Ovis aries: one gene and its partner. The protein of the gene in region 1 interacts with the protein of each later gene in a biochemical or structural test. Links are inferred from orthologs where the notes say so. Each region holds a gene or a part of one and is shown in the gene's direction. Other genes may lie near its edges. The genes, in order: INSR and GRB10.

Region 1 (7,702 bases):
TTTGGAAATTAGCAAATGGTGATTTTCTACTTTCATTCCAATGCTTTTAAGAAGAGGCAGAGGTTGACTTTCATTTTTTATATCCTGGTATTTTTTTTGAGGGGGTGCGGGGGTAGCTTACAGAAGAAATAATGAGCTTTTTTTCTTCTGGAAGTGGAGGTGTCTTCATTTTCTCCCAGTAAGCCACAACTACAACGATTCTTCTGACTTTATACCCAGCTTTATGTGGAGGTCTTGCATCCTGAAGGATTTCCAGAGGGCAGTATGTCCCTTGGAATTTTAGCAAATGCCACCTGCTTGAAATTGTTGGTGGCTTTTCAGTCAGTTGACTTCAGTCGCTCAGTTGTGTCTGACTCTTTGCAACCCCATGGACTGTAGCATGCCAGGCTCCTCTGTCCATGGGATTTTCCAGGCAAGAATACTGGAGTGGGTAGCCATTCCCTTCTGCAGGGGATCTTCCAGACCCAGGGTCCAACCTGGGTCTCCTGCATTGAAGGCAGATTCTTTATTGTCTGAGCCACCAGGGAAGCCCAACCCTTTGGTATAAACCCTTTAATGCATCCTTGTTGCTTTTAGGATAAAGGGTGTGTTGAAGACAACCCATACATGGTATATCCCTTTTAGTCTCGCCTACCAGCCCAGCCTTCCCCTTTTCTTTCTTTGCTTTCTTTTCTCCAGCTACAGTGCCTGGCTCAGTTGTGAGAACACTGGCCTGTCCTCTGGGCCTTTGCACACGCCGTTCCCTCCACCTGGAACATTTTCTTGATGCTTCCCTGGGCTGGCTCTCTCTCCTCAGATTTCAGTTCAAAATCACCTCTTTGGAGAATCCTTCTGCCTCTCCCCACCTCACCTTATAAAACATCTGATGTGCGACTTAATGGCTTTCTCCTTACACTGGGTTGTGAGGTCTACAAGGAAATGAATGGTGTTTATTTGGCTCCCTGCGAATCCCCACTGCTTACTGCATGTTGATTTTTCCGCTCAACAAATATTTATTAAGCAATGGATATGTCAGTCACTGGGTGTAAAATACTGAACATGATGGACAAGATTTCTGCCTTCCTGGGGAGGGGTGAATACACACAATAAGTCAGAATTTCAGGTAGAGACACCAGCGTGCTGTCTGGACAGGAACAAATGGAGGAGGGGACAGGGAGTGTTTGCAAAGTTGGTCAGGGAAGGCTCACTGGAACAGACAAGTGGAGCCAGACACCAGAAGGACAGGGGAGGCAGGAATAGACTTGAGTTAGAAGAACAGTGGGCCCATCTACTGGCAAACTAATATTTGTTTAATAGATGAAAGGAAGAATGAATGCCCTCAGCCAACAGTTGTTCTGGGTGCTTTGTCATGCTTTATTTCCCCTGGGAGACTGTGTGTGTGCATGCGTGTGCGTGCTCCGTTGTGTGTGTGTGTGTGTGTGTGTGTGTGTGTGTGTGTATGCACACGAGCTCAGTCATGTCGAACTCTTTGCGACTCCATGGACTGTAGCCTGCCTCTACCCATGGGATTTTCCAGGCAAGAATACTGGAGTGGGCTACCATTTCCTCCTCCAGGGGATCTTCCTGACCCAGGAATCTAACCTGCGTCTCCTGCATTGGTGGGCAAATTCTTTACCACTGAGCAACCTGGGAAGCCCTTGCTGCTGCTGCTGCTACTGCTGCTAAGTCGCTTCAGTCGTGTCTGACTCTGTGCGACCCCATAGTCGGCAGCCCACCAGGCTCCCCTGTCCCTGGGACTCTCCAGGCAAGAACACTGGAGTGGGTTGCCATTTCCTTCTCCAATCCATGAAGGTGAAAAGTGAAAGTGAAGTCGCTCAGTCCTGTCCGAGTCTTAGGGACCCCATGGACTGCAGCCTACCAGGCTCCTCCCTCCATGGGGTTTTCCAGGCAAGAGTACTGGAGTGGGGTGCCATCGCCTTCTCCGGGAAGCCCTTACAACTCACCAAATCTGACCTGAAGGTGTCCTTACGTGCATCATACAGATGAGGCCCATCGAGAGAGAGAAAAATTACTCATTCAAGCAGATTCTCACTCCGTTCTGGCTTCTCTGTGCTTAAGGCCCCTCTTCAGCAGGCGGGGTGGCCACTGTCACGTGACTGACGTTCAAACACACACGGACTCTGGGTCTGCGCATTGAAACTTGGGTGTGTCCACCTGTGTTCTACCGAAGATCTCCAGCGCCTGGTTTGCACTTTTTTTTTTTTTTGCTAGTTTCTACACTTTCTCCTAAGGGTCATTTCTCCACCTTGAACCACGCATCGTGCGGAGGGGCCAGGCTACCCAATACTTGAGCGCACGCGGCACGCTCGTGCACGTGGCTGTCCCCAGGGGCCTGGCTCTGGGCGGGGGCGCACTCTGGGGTAGGACATCCGGGGCGCTCGAGGGCCATACTCACTGGCCAGACTGTGACGAGGGGAAGGTGAACGCAACATTTAAGGGAGTACCAAAAAGCCGAGTAACCACGATAAACAATATTTTAATGCAATATTTAAAAAAATAAAAATGAATTTTCTAAAGTCCCACGAAGAACAAACTAGCAAAATGTTTTAAACACGCGATCCGACTTGCTGAGTTGGTCAATCTGGGGCGCTCCCGGGCTCTGAGACAGGAGTCCTGGGGCTGTACGGGGCGCTGGGGCTGGGCAGGCATCTAGGGCGCCCCCTCGGCTACGGCGCGACGGGGGCCTCCAGCGCGGGGCCCAGGATAGGGAGACCGGCGGGCGGGCGGGGCGGCGCCTCCCCCCTGCCCGTCCTCCTTCCACCCCTCTCGGGCCTCTGCCGGGCGCCGAGTCCCTTCCGAGCCCAGATCCGCGCCGCCTTTTCCCGCGGCCCGAACGGGGCCCAGCTGACGGGCCGCGTTGTTTACGGGCCGAGCAGCCCTGGCTCCCGCCGCCTGCCCGCCACCCGCCAGCCCAGGTGCCCGCCCGCCTGTCCGCACGTCCGTTTGTCCGCGCGTCCGAAGATCGGAGCTCCGGAGCGCTCGGGGCCAAGAGCCTAGAGTCAGGGGGGCGCAGCGCGGGGCTCCGGGCCCTGAGATCGTCGGGACGGGGGCGCGGGCCGCGGGGGCCCGGAGTCGGGACCGTCTCCACCCGGCCGCGCTGCCGGATTCGTAGCAGCGGAGGCCGCGCGCCCCTCCCGGGGCCGTATCTAGAGTCCTCCCGGGCGCAGGCTGCGGGACCTTGGGCTGCCCGCGTGGAAGAGAAGGACGCGCGACCCCCAGCGCCTCTGGGGCGGCCGCCTCGGAGCATGCACCCCGCCAGCCAGCGCCCCGCGCTCTGATCCTTCAGCCATGGGCGCCGGGGGCGGGAGCGGGGCGGCAGCCGTGCTGCTGCTGGTGGTCGTCGCCGCGCTGCTGGTGGGCGCCGCGGGCCACCTGTACCCTGGAGAAGGTGAGTCTGGGGGGTCCCGGAGCGGGCGGGAAGCCGCGCGGGTGGGGAGGGGACCCTTTGCCAAAATGGAACCACCCCCCGTTGTGGACGGAGTGCCGTCCTCCGTCGGAGGGCTGGTGGCTCGGACGGTTTCTCCGGCCTCGCGGGGGGCGGGAAGCCGCTGACCTTGGCCTTTGCCCGCCTGGGCTAGCGGTTCCACGACCCGCATGCGGCCCGGGGCTGGAGGAACCTTGCCCTAGTGCCCGCCCCTCCGCGGGCGCCTCTCCCGAGAGCGCTCCTCGAACCCCCGTGTCTGGGCCTCTCTGAGCCCACCACCTGGCTCCAGAGACGGGACACACGTCCTCTCTGGGTCGCCTCCGAGAAGTAGGGTCATCGGACACTCTCACACAGCCAAATGCCCCGGGCACAGACGGTTTGGAGTGAGAATCGAGGGTGACTGACTGAAGGCAGGGTGGTCCCTTGAGATCCCAGCAGCTTGGTGACGCTCCCCCAGGGGCCGAGGAAGTGTAGAACCCGCCCCTTTCTTTCTGGTATCTAGACCCACGGCTACCCCTGACTTCAGGTCCATGTTTATACTCTGGAATTCTGTTTCCAGATGTCGGAGGCAAGCTCTAGCCCTTGGCAACAGCGCAGCTGTAGTAGCAGTAGTGTTGGCTTTTATGATTATTATAGCTGGTGTCACCAGATGCCTCGGGCTGGCCGGTCTTATCTGTCTGGATCTCTGCAGCAGCCCGTGGAGGCTGATACTGTTGTTGGTCCATTTCATAGAGGAGTAAACTGAGGCTCAGGAAGGACACAGAATTCACTTGCCCCAGAATCAGAGCTAGAGAGAAGACAAACCTCTCTGGCTCTGCCCAGGGCTCTGCCCAGCTGCCCACGCCCCAGGAACCCCTGGTAACCTCCCTCCTCTACCTTTTTACCTGTCAGCTGGGCAGGTCTCTAATCTGTGGTCAGCCCAGCACCTTGCCCCCTCTCCCTTCCAATTCTCCCTCATGAGTGTCCCTGGGCTAGCAGCTCCCTGGTATGGGGAGAGGGGTAAGTCCCAGCATTTTCCTTGGGCTTGACAGCACGTCTTTCTGGCTGCAGGTCAAGGATGGAAAATCCTTGAAGAGAATATAACTGGGGTTTCCCACCATGATGGCGGAGGCCCTGCTTTCAAAATATGTGTTGGGTTACTTCTTCAGATTTCTCCATAAAAGGAAATCAGTCCCGATGAGGAAGGGGTCAGGCAGGGAAGGAACAGAAGTTCCTGAGTTGCCTGTCGGTGAGTGGGGATGCACGAGAAAGCACGTGGGGGCTCTGGAGTTGACAAACCGGGTTTGTGGAGCACCTTTGCCAATTAGGCAACGTCTCCAAGCACCCAAGTGCCTGGTATACAGTGAGTGCTCCTCCAAGGAAGGGTAGCAGTGGATTTAGGCTCTTGTTAGAAAAAAAACACACACACACACACACACAAAAACCCAGACCAGCTGTTAGATCTGTGTCCGGCTTTGTGTGTCCATGCCCGTGTGTGTCTGTGTGTGGGTGCACATCTGTATATGCATGCAGTTCCTTGCTCCTCTGTTCCTGGTAGCTTTAGGAATTAATGGTGGATTTGTGCCTGGGCTGGCTTTCCTGGTGGCTCAGATGGTAAAGAATCTGCCTGTAGGAGCCTGGGTTTGATCCCTGGATCGGGAAGATCCCCTGGAGAGGGGAATGGCTATCCACTCCAGTATTCTTGCCCAGAGAATCTCATGGACAGAGGAGCCTGGTGGGCTACATACAGTCCATGGGGTCCCAAAGAGTCCGATACGACTGATCGACTTTCACTTTCAGGGGTCAGTGGATGGATTTGCCACTTCTTGCATGTTTATAGCTTCCACGAGGGAGAGGCTTATGTTTCTCTGTTCACTGCCACAGTTCCAGAGTCTAGAGCAGCCCCTGACACCTAGGAGATGCTTGATACATTTATTTATTTTGACCGTGCTGGGTCTTCATTGCTGTGCTGGGCTTTTCTCTAGGTGTGAGGATCGAGGCTACTCTGTAGTTGCTGTGCATGGGATGGGCTTCTCATTCCAGCGGCTTCTCTTGTTGTGGAGACCGGGCTCCAGGGCACGCGGCTTCAGTAGTTGTGGCTCGTGTGCTCAATAGTTGTGGCTCCCTGGCCCCAGAGTGCAGGCTCAGCAGCTGTGGCACTCGGGCTTAGCTGCTCTGCAGCACATGTGGTCTTCCCATACCAGAGGTCGAACCCCTGTCCTCAGCATTGGCAGGAGGATTTGTCGCCCTTGGACCACCAGGGAAGTCCTAAATATTTGTTCTAGATCCAACTCCTGTCCTTCCTGTTCTTCCCAGGAGTCCAAGTCATGGCTCCTTTATTCTTCAGATAAAACCTAGCTGACACAAATACAAGCAAATTCTACACACTCGGCATTGATAATCTCGATTAATCCTCACCACAGCCCTCCGAGGTAAGGTTTATCATCCATTTCGAAGGTGAGGAACTTGGATGAGGTGGCAGTGCTGAGATGAGAACTCCGGTTTGTTAATAAAAGGTTTCTTAACAGAAGGTTCTTCTTGGGACTCTGAGCCTCCCCGCCCTAACCCCTGTGGTATAAAGGTTAACAAAATACTCTCGAATAAATGACATGTGATGCCCTTCGGAGGTTTGGGGAGGGGCAAGGAACTTTCCGGATCGTTGGTTAATCTCCAGCAGCAAGCAGTGTGGCATTCTGTCTGGGGTGGGGGTGGGGTCGATGGAGATCAGTGGGATTTTGAAGGACTGAGGACTCTCTCCTCGATGTCACATGGGATGGGCCAGCCCATTTCATCCCCCCTGTGGAGTCTCTGTGGCTTGGCTGAACTGGGCAGTGGTTTTCCCTCCCATGTCTCCTTGGGTTGACCCACTCTGGCCCGAGATGACCCAGGAGCACTGCAAAGTCAGAGAATGAAGGCAAAGTGGGATTAATTATAGTGGAAACTGAATCTTGGCAGGGGCAGTGAATTGATGAGTTGAGGTGCTAGATGTTGCTTTTGGATCCCCTTACATCTCGAGGTGGAATCTAGTGTTTCTCTTGTGGTTCTCTGGTGCACTCTGGGACCCTCAGATCAGAACTTCTGCTCTCTGGGTCAGTTCTCTGAGGTTCTTCCTAGTCTTTGCTTCCCTCCTGGTGACCTGCCTCTCGACCCTGCCCTGCTCATTCATAGAGGTCACTGGGGGCGAGCCTCACCCCATGGGCCCCCACCTCACTCCACTTCCTCATTGACATCCTTTATTTTTTGGCTAGAATAGACCTTCTCAATTTCTGTGCTCTTGATCTATGAGGTTGGATAGTTCTTGGTTGCAGGGGGCTGTCTTGTGTATCTTAAGATGTTGCTCACTGTCTGCGGTCTCTGACCAGTAGCAACGCCCCTCTCCAAGTCATGACCACTAAAAAGTGTCTGCAGACACCACCAACTGTCCTCTGATTGAGAACCACTGCTTTTGGTGCTAGTGGTAAAGAACCTACCTGCCAATGCAGGGGACACATGAGGTGTGGGTTCAATCCCTGGATCAGGAAGCTCCCCTGGAGGAAGGCATGGCAACCTGCTCCAGTATGCTTGCCTGGGAAATCTCATGGACAGAAGACCCTGCCAAGCTGCAGTCGATGGGGTCATAAAGAGTCAGACACGACTGAAGTGACTTAGTATGCAGGACACTTATCCACTTAGGTCCCCTCCTCTCTCCCCTCTGTTCAGGGATCTCCATCCACCCAGAAGCCTTTTTCTTTTCAGCCTATAAACACTCAATACTCCCCAGGACCCCGGTACCCACCACCCACCTTTTGCCTTCCTCTGTCAAGCCTCCCCCAACCGCTGATGGGCACTCATCACCCTTGCTCTCTCACCTTTCACCCACTGCTCTGCCCACAGCATCTGGCTTGTGTCTCCATTGCTTTGCCCATGGTGCTAACCAAAGTCATTCCTCACCTACCAATGGCAGCCTCACCCCAGCTGACTTCTCTGGGTTTTGCTTCCCCTCTCCTGGTGAGTTTTCACCTGTCCCTGGCTCCTCCCATTCTCTCTCTTCTTTTCCTCTGCTCCTTTTCCGGGCTTATTATCTTGGCCTTCATTGACGGCCATTCCCTACTCTGACTCTCTCTCTTACGCTCACTTGTTAATTTATATGTGGTCAAAGTCTTTAGAACAGGGGTCGAACCCTGCCCGCCCACGCCTGTTTTTGTAAATAAAGTTTTATTGGCACGCCGCCATGCCCGTTGGTTCACGCATCCTCTATCGCTGCTTTCGTGCTCTAAGGGCAGAGTTGAACGGTTGTGATCGCGTGGCTCCCAACAATAT
Region 2 (7,702 bases), on another chromosome or scaffold:
GTCCATGGAATTTTCTATACAAGAATACTGGAGTGGGTAGCCATTCCGTTCTCCAGAGGATCTTCCCAAGCCAGAGATCAACCCCCCGTCTCCTGCATTAGAAGCATTCTTTACCATTGACAAGCCCATATGTAGGGGTAAGGGGCTTTAGTGTATGGAATTTACTTAGAAATAATCCAGGAAACTATGTCTACATATAAGGTGGTTTTCAAACACCTATAAAAGCCCTTTGTCTATCAGGCTTTCTGGCTGGTTCAGTCTCCTTGCTGACTGGAACCTTTGACAAAACTCTTAAGAGTCAAACTTACATGGCTCTCCAGAACTGGCCCATGACTTTTCCCCCTTTAACTTGCTCTGGATCCTTTGTCTATTACAGGAATCTTTGTGTCCAGTTAAGTTCTTCCAGGAACTAAGTTCCTTTGCATTACTCTCTAGATGTTTCATCTTAGGGTTTTCTGAACCTGGACCAATGGGGAGATATTTTCAGGATGCTTATTTCAGTTTCAAGAAAGGATGAATTCTCCTGGATAAATCAGGCCAAAGGTGGGAAACACAAAAGTTATAAAAAGTGCCCTAAAGGGTTGTGGCAGAATCCTTATTCTGCACTTAGGAGCTACTTCAGTTCAGTTCAGTTTAGTTGCTCAGGCGTGTCCGACTCTTTGCCACCCCATAGACTGAAGCACACCAGGCTTCCTTGTCCATCACCAACTCCCAGAGCTTACTCAAACTCATGTCCATTGAGTCAGTGATGCCATCCAACCATCTTATCCTCTGTCCTCCCCTTCTTCTCCTGCCTTCAATCTTTCCCAGCATCAGGGTCTTTTCAAATGAGTCAGTTCTTTGTATCAGGTGGCCCAAGTATTGGAGTTTCAGCTTCAGCACTAGTCCTTCCATTGAATATTCAGGACTGATTTCCTTTAGGATGGACTGGTTGGATCTCCCTGCAGTCGAAGGGACTCTCAAGAATTCTCCAACACCACAGTTCAAGGCATCAATTCTCCAGCGCTCAACTTTCTTTATAGTTCAAATCTCACATCCATACATGACTACTGGAAAAAACCAAGCTTTGACTAGACGGACCTTTGTTGGCAAAGTAATGTCTCTGACCTTCGGCAAATTATCTAACCTCTGGGCGACTGGGTTTCCTCGCCTGTGCAGTGGGCATCTCCTAGTAACAAGCTCAGAGGGTGAAAGCAGAGGATTAATGAAATGTTTGGCACAAAACGCACGCTCAATGAAGGTAAGTTATTACTGCAGCTGTTTTTATAATATCAAATCCCAGAAAAAGACATAATTATTGTTATTATCCTATTTGTATTATAATTTTGATTCGATAGAAATATTAATAATCATGTTAATTACAACGGTGTCGATGAACGTAGGGGTTCCTTCTTACCTTTCGCTTTATGTTACAAGTTAACATCTCATTTAACCCTCAGGACATTACTCGTAGGCGGGCTTATTAGCCTATTGCAAAGCTAAGGACGTTGAGGCCCGTTGGTATACAGAAAATAAACAGGGCCTCCCACTCCACGCGCGCTCCGGGGCGGGTACGCAGATAGGGAAACTGTGGCTACGAGGGGTCAAGGCTCCAGACTCCGCCAGCGGCGGGCGGACGCTGAAGCCCAGGTTCCCCGGTCCCACGCGGAACCGCCGCCCAAGGCACAGCCAGTGCAGCAGCCGCTCCTCAGGCTTCTCCGTCCAGTCTTCCCGCTGCGCCCGGGACGGGGAATGGGGCCGCACAGTTTCAACTTGAGTTTCAAAGAATTCGCTTGCAAATTGCCTTCCAGGAGAGGTCTGATGTGTGTTTCGAGGGCGCTCCAGGCTGGGTGGTCGCGGTTCTACGTCCGCGAGTCCCAAGAGCGGGACCAGGGGTCCGGGCGCCCACGCCCAGCTGCCGGCTTCCAGTCCCCCGTGCCAGCCCCCGGCAGCAGCGACCTGCGGGAGCGCCCGGCCCCGCGCCCGGCGCCGCACCCCGCCGGCTCCCCGAGCTCCCTCCGCGACCCGCCCTGCGCCCAGGCCGCGGCCCTGCCCGCGCTGGCGGCCCCGAGCGGTCCGGGCTGCGGTGGCAGCAGCGGCGGCGGCGGGAGGAGGAGCAGGAAAAGCGACCGGGGGAGGAGGCGGAGGCGGCGGAGGCGGAGGCGGCGGCGGCGGCGGCGGCGGCGGGCGGGGCCGGGCGGGTTTAAAGCCCATCGAGGGGGTGGGGAGGCCGGGAGGCGGCAGGAAGGAGCGCGAGCGGCGCGCCGCGGCGGGCGGGCGCTCGGAAGCCGCGGAGCCAAAGTTTGCGCGCGGTCCCCGGGCGGCGGCACGCGGGGGTCGGGACCGCCCTGCGCGCCGCCCTTGCCCCGCGGGACCCGCGCCGCCCCGGCCGCGCCGAGGGGCGCGGGCGGCCAGGCGGAGGCGGCAGCGAACGGCGCCGTGGCAGGTAGGGAGTTGGGCGGCGAGCGAGGCGCCAAGTTACTTTGTGGCCGGCGGGCGGGCGGGCTGCAGTCCCGGCGTCATTGTCTGCGCGCGGGCCGCCCGGGCCGGGGACGCCGGGCGCCGCGGGGGCGCGGCGGGCGGAAGGGCGTCGCCTCGGGCCGGGGGCTGCGGCGCGCGAGGGCGGGGACCGGGCGCGGCGCTCGGCGTCGGCGACCCCGCGGAGCCGGGGAGCCCGGGCGGCGCCCTCTGGAGCCCTCCTGTCCGACGCCGGCGGCTCACTGGCCGGGCCGGGGTGGGGGCTGCGCCGCCGGGCGGTCGGGGCCAAGGCCGCGCTCCCGGATCGCCTGGAGGGTGGGCGCCGCGCGCCCCTGCAGCCCCCGGTGCGCCCGTGCTCGCGCGGTGGGGCCGGACCCTCAGGAGCTGGAGCGAGCCAGATCCTGGGATCTTTCCCTTTGGTTCTGCTGGCGACCCGTTTCCCCTCCCCCGGGGCCTAACCCCAAGTCGAGGGTTCGCGGGTTAGCGGCCCGCCAGCCGGGGAAATGTGATAAGAGCTGTGCGGTTCTCCGAAGGCGATTCTGATGCAACTCTCGGCCTCCGGATCGCCTCTCCCCGCGCCTGCCTGAGGACGGCCCTGGAGCATGTGCGTTATGGAAATGAGACATTCTCTACTTTTTATTGTGTTTTTCTTGTCTTGGGGTTGGAAGACACGCCAAGTTTCTGTCATTTGCCTCGGTGAGACGGTGGGTCACGTAGGGAAGCCACAGGTGACTTTGCCCGGGCCCGGATCTTTCTGATGCATTCGTTGGAGAGAAAGCTTTCTTGCAAATGTTGTCCCCAGCTTCATTCAAGAGATGCGGAGAAAAGACCCAAACAAGTAGCGCTAGTGAGTAAACACGCGTTGTTGCACAACTTGCTCTTTGCTGCTGTTTACAAGGCCTAACCCAGAACACTTTGTTTCTGGAAATGCTGATTCAGCGGTTCGGAGCCCCCGAGTTTCCAAAGTGGTGCTTTCTCTAACGTTTCGCTCAGTTTTACTAAGAACACATGTTAACACAGCAACAGGCGTTGACTAGGGTTTACAGCACCAAGTCGGACGTTTTTCATGAGTTGACTCGCTGATTCCTTCGTTCTTTCCAGGAGGAAAAATAGATAGGTTCTAGGTTTCTGTGGCAAAAGAAGTTCTGACTTCTGGCGATGGTGGTGTCTTTTAGGTTAAGTATTTTGTTAGGAAAAAAGCTCTGAAACCGAAGTGTTTCCAGGAATGATTCTAGATGACTAGGTTTTCCGGTTAAGAATCAGAATTCTAGGATTATTGCATATAATATTTGAGTTTTACTGGAAACATTTGAAAGAGATGGCCACACAGGCCAACCCCCAGGTCTCGGGGAGGGAATTTGAGGACAGTCACACACCCAGCAACTGAGAAGTAACTGAGAAGTGCAGCAAGGGATACTTGTGTGGCATTTCACTGTCTATGGCACACGTTCAAAGCCTGATTACTTTTAATCCTCTGCAGCCTCCTGCTCCCCATTTTACAGGTTTGGAAATTGAGGCTTGGGCTTTCAGGTGGCGCTAGTGGTAAAGAACCCACCAAGTAATGCAGGAGATGGATATAAGAGACTCAGGTTTGGCCCCTGATTCAGGAAGATCCCTTGGAGTAGGAAATGGCAGCCCAGTCCTGTATTCTTGCCTAGAGAATCCCATGGACCAAGGAGGTGGGCTAGTCCGTGGGGTGGCAAAGAATCAGACACGCACAAACCCAGGCTCAGGAGGTTAACAAATGCATGTCCGATCACATGGCTGGCAAATGCCAAAGCTGTCACCAGATCCTAAGCTTTGGGTTCTTTTTTTTGTTTGTTTTTTCCCAGTTGTCTGTGGTTCATGCTTCTGTGCATCTGAAAGAGAAATGGCCTAGGAGCGTCCCTGGGCTGGTCAGACACCCGGAGAACCGGCAGACTCTGTTCCCATTCCCGTGGCTCCTGGATACCTGCCCTATCACTAGGCTATTATCAGTGTTTTCTTTTCTCCGCTCACTTTTTGTGCTTAGATACGAATTTGTTTTGGAAGGAAATTTTGATACCACAGAGTCATGAGTCTGATATGGTGGTTATGTTTACTGTAATAAGAACTGTGTTTTAATAAAAGCTGTGCCCCGCTAAAATCATCTAGAGCGTATTGCCTGTGGTGTGTGTAGCTTTTGGACTGGGCAAAATGCCTTTCATTGTGGACTAGGAACCTGGAGCTGGGCAGATTCATGCCAGGGCTTGTAGCGTGGTAGCTGCCAGGATCGGAACCTGGACAGCCCTGGCCCAGTCACAGTGACCATCTCTGTGGCCACTGAGCCTCAAACAGGAGAGGGGAACAAAGCCAGACTCTTGAACTTTTGATTTGGATGATGAGGCTGTTCTAAGTCTTGACAATGTATAGAAACCAAGCTCCTGCATGAACAAAGACATCCGCTGTGCCTTTACCTTCCTCTTACAGCTTTAGAAATTCTAGGTTGGTATAGCTGATAAAAGTTTCAAGATGACATAGTTTAAGGAACTTATTTCCTTGGAATTCGGTCCAACTCTTAACCGCTGGTGAAAAGAGCCACGCGTGGTGGTGGGCTGGTCCGCCTGTCGGAACTCTGACACTGACTGTAGCGAGTTCTGTCCTGCTTCGTGGGAGGAAGTGTGTGTGTTCACGGCTTGGGGTGTGATGCCTTTGTCAGTTTCTCATGCTGTCAAACCAACGTGGAATCATGTGGATCTATAAAGAGAAAACATTTGTTTTGCTTTTCATGTATGTAGTCAGTCATATGTTCATAATTTCACTAAAACTTTTTCTGCTTGTTGAGACTTTATTTCACCTGTCTTTATCTTTTGCTTAACTGGGCGTTTGGGAGATTAAGGAAGATGTTAGAACAGACAAGTGACTTGGTGGGCAAATGGGTGCTTTGGGGACCTGGGAACCGTCAACAAGGTCTTTGTACCAACGGGTGTAAAACTGATCGCACCCGTTCAGGCGCTGGCTGGCTTTTACATTGTGTTACTACTTCATGGCACGTTTCTGGGGAGCTGTCTGTTCTCCCACCTTCTCTGTTTGGTGTCCGTGCTCCTGATGATCGTGTCTTGTTGACTGTAAGGGGATGAGAACAGGTAATGCTTAAAATCACCAGTCTGATGGCTTTTCTGTAATAACATAAGGAAAAATGGGACGACTGGTTTTGAGACCAAAAAAAGCCATCAAAAATCACCCCAGAGTTAGAAATGAGTGCTCATGACTTTCTGCTTTGGGGATAAAACAACTCCGAGGAGATACCCCTTTTTGCTCCTCTAGTGGGAGAGGTGGGCTTGAGAATAAACGGAGCCTGGGCTGCTTGAGTGCTCTTTTGTTCATCTGGGAAAGGGGTGGATGTTGAGGTAGAAATAACTTAAGTCATAGTCTTGCTTTAGAATCCCTGCCCAGATGCATAGGATGAAGTTAGTGGGTCATGACTGGGTGCGACTGGGAAAACTTGAATATTGCTCCTGTTTTTCCACCAGTGACTTGACATCTGGCTTGGGGCGTGATTGCCTTGATTGTTCAGACCCCTGCTTTGAGGGGTTTCTCATTTGGGCTCCCTCTGCCAGGTTGGACTGTGTGTTTTAGCATCTCCTTTGCCACCATGTTGCTCTTTTCTGCTTTTGCCCAAGTGGGTGGATGGTACTGATGACTCCACTGGGCACTCTGCCTCAGCAGGACTCCTGGTCTTCTTTAAGCAGCTGGGTGAGCTCATTGAGCTAGCTTTTACTAGCTCATTGGTAAAATGAGAGTCACAGGGGTGCCGACCTGCAGGGAAGGTGGGGTGCCTCTGGGGTCGTGTGCACCTTGGTACGTGGTGAGAGCTCAGAGATGCTGCGTCTGTGACCCTAAGCCTGGCTTAGAATAGCTTGCATGCTGGGTAATGCTTCTTTGTTAATTTACGAGGTCTCTCTCTATTAATTAGAAAGAAGACTACTTTGTTTGTATTTTTGTCTCTGGATCCATTAGCTGTACAAAACCTTGTGTCACTGGCTGGATTCTGCCTTCAGCACCAGTCGCTGTGAGTGAGAAGCCTCTCCTGGCCTCAGAGCAGCCCATGGGTAGGATGCTGTGAGCAGAGGTAGACGGTGGGATGGAGACCTCGCCTGGCCACAGCCCACTTGAACCAGACCATGGGGAGGGACAGACGTCAAAAATTGGTTCTTTGTGCCCAGGAACAAGACATTTGCAGTGGCTGAGATACACAGGCTCAGACACGCTGTGATGCTGGACGCCTGCATGGAGACTGCTGGGCGCAGGTACACGGGGCCTGGTGGCCTCTGTCTTCAGGACCCCAGGGTGCTCGGTGTCTGGAGTCTGCAGAGACACCTATCCCAGCTGGGACTGAAATGCACATGAGCTGCACATCCTGATGGGCTGCCCGTGCCCCCAAGTGCCTCCTGCACCGTGTCTGGGGCGGTGCTGTTGGCAACCTCCATCCCCCAGAAGTCTGGCTGGATCTTAGAGCCAGGTCAGCGGGCCCAGGTACCAACAGCCGCAGTCTCGCCGGGTAGCACAGGCTCAGAAAGCACGTGGCCTGGAAAGAGTTTTCTGTGTTTTTGCCCTCTTCACCGTCACTGCAACTGAAACTGCATTGGGTGGCTGGGATCTTCAGCTGTCTGCGCACTGCCCCTGGCACTGCCCGGCGGCCTGCCTGTCTGGCCCTGGCTGCGAGCTTACTGTTGTCTCACTCTGCAAGAGAGAACCTAGAAGGTACCTGGAGACCACCTGTCACGTGGCTGCCAACAGCAAGGGACCCCCAGCCACCTGGATCAAATCTGAGATGCTTGTTGGAGGGGAGAGACCCTGCGAGTACTCACTTCTCCCACCTGCGGGGCTTTTAGTTTATTTTTTTGGGAAACTTTCATCCCTGGGAGTGTTTTCTTCCCGTCTTTTATGAGTTGTGAACACACTCTAATATGAAGACTTTAATTATATCCCGTATCAGTAATAATCTTAGGATTTTCTGCTCCAAGAAACTCATCTTGACCAAAAGGCTGCTACAAACTAAGGAGCATTTCCATTCAGGGGTTTGTACGGTAGCATCACACACACAGGCTTCCTGGGGGGCTCAGCGGTAAAGAACCTGTCTGCCGATGCAGGAGGCACAGGAGACAGGTTCCATCCCTGTGTCGGGAAGATCCCTTGGAGGAGGAAATGGTAACCCTCTCCAGTATTCTTGCCTGGAGAATCCCATGGACGGAGGAGCCTGGTGGGCTACAGTCCATGGAGTCGC

Evidence for each region.
Region 2: the proteins of INSR (region 1) and GRB10 form a complex in vitro, tested with the Homo sapiens proteins (5 studies listed by BioGRID and IntAct). The link is inferred for Ovis aries from reciprocal best matches to the Homo sapiens genes INSR and GRB10.

Annotation. Positions count from the first base shown.
Region 1 is NC_056058.1:13,931,368-13,939,069, reverse strand, and holds the start of INSR (insulin receptor), read left to right. Parts: upstream 1-2,803; 5' UTR 2,804-3,288; coding exon 3,289-3,388; intron 3,389-7,702. UniProt on the Homo sapiens protein: Receptor tyrosine kinase which mediates the pleiotropic actions of insulin.
Region 2 is NC_056057.1:5,909,816-5,917,517, forward strand, and holds the start of GRB10 (growth factor receptor-bound protein 10), read left to right. Parts: upstream 1-2,632; 5' UTR 2,633-3,061; exon of another isoform or gene 3,062-3,304; intron 3,305-7,702.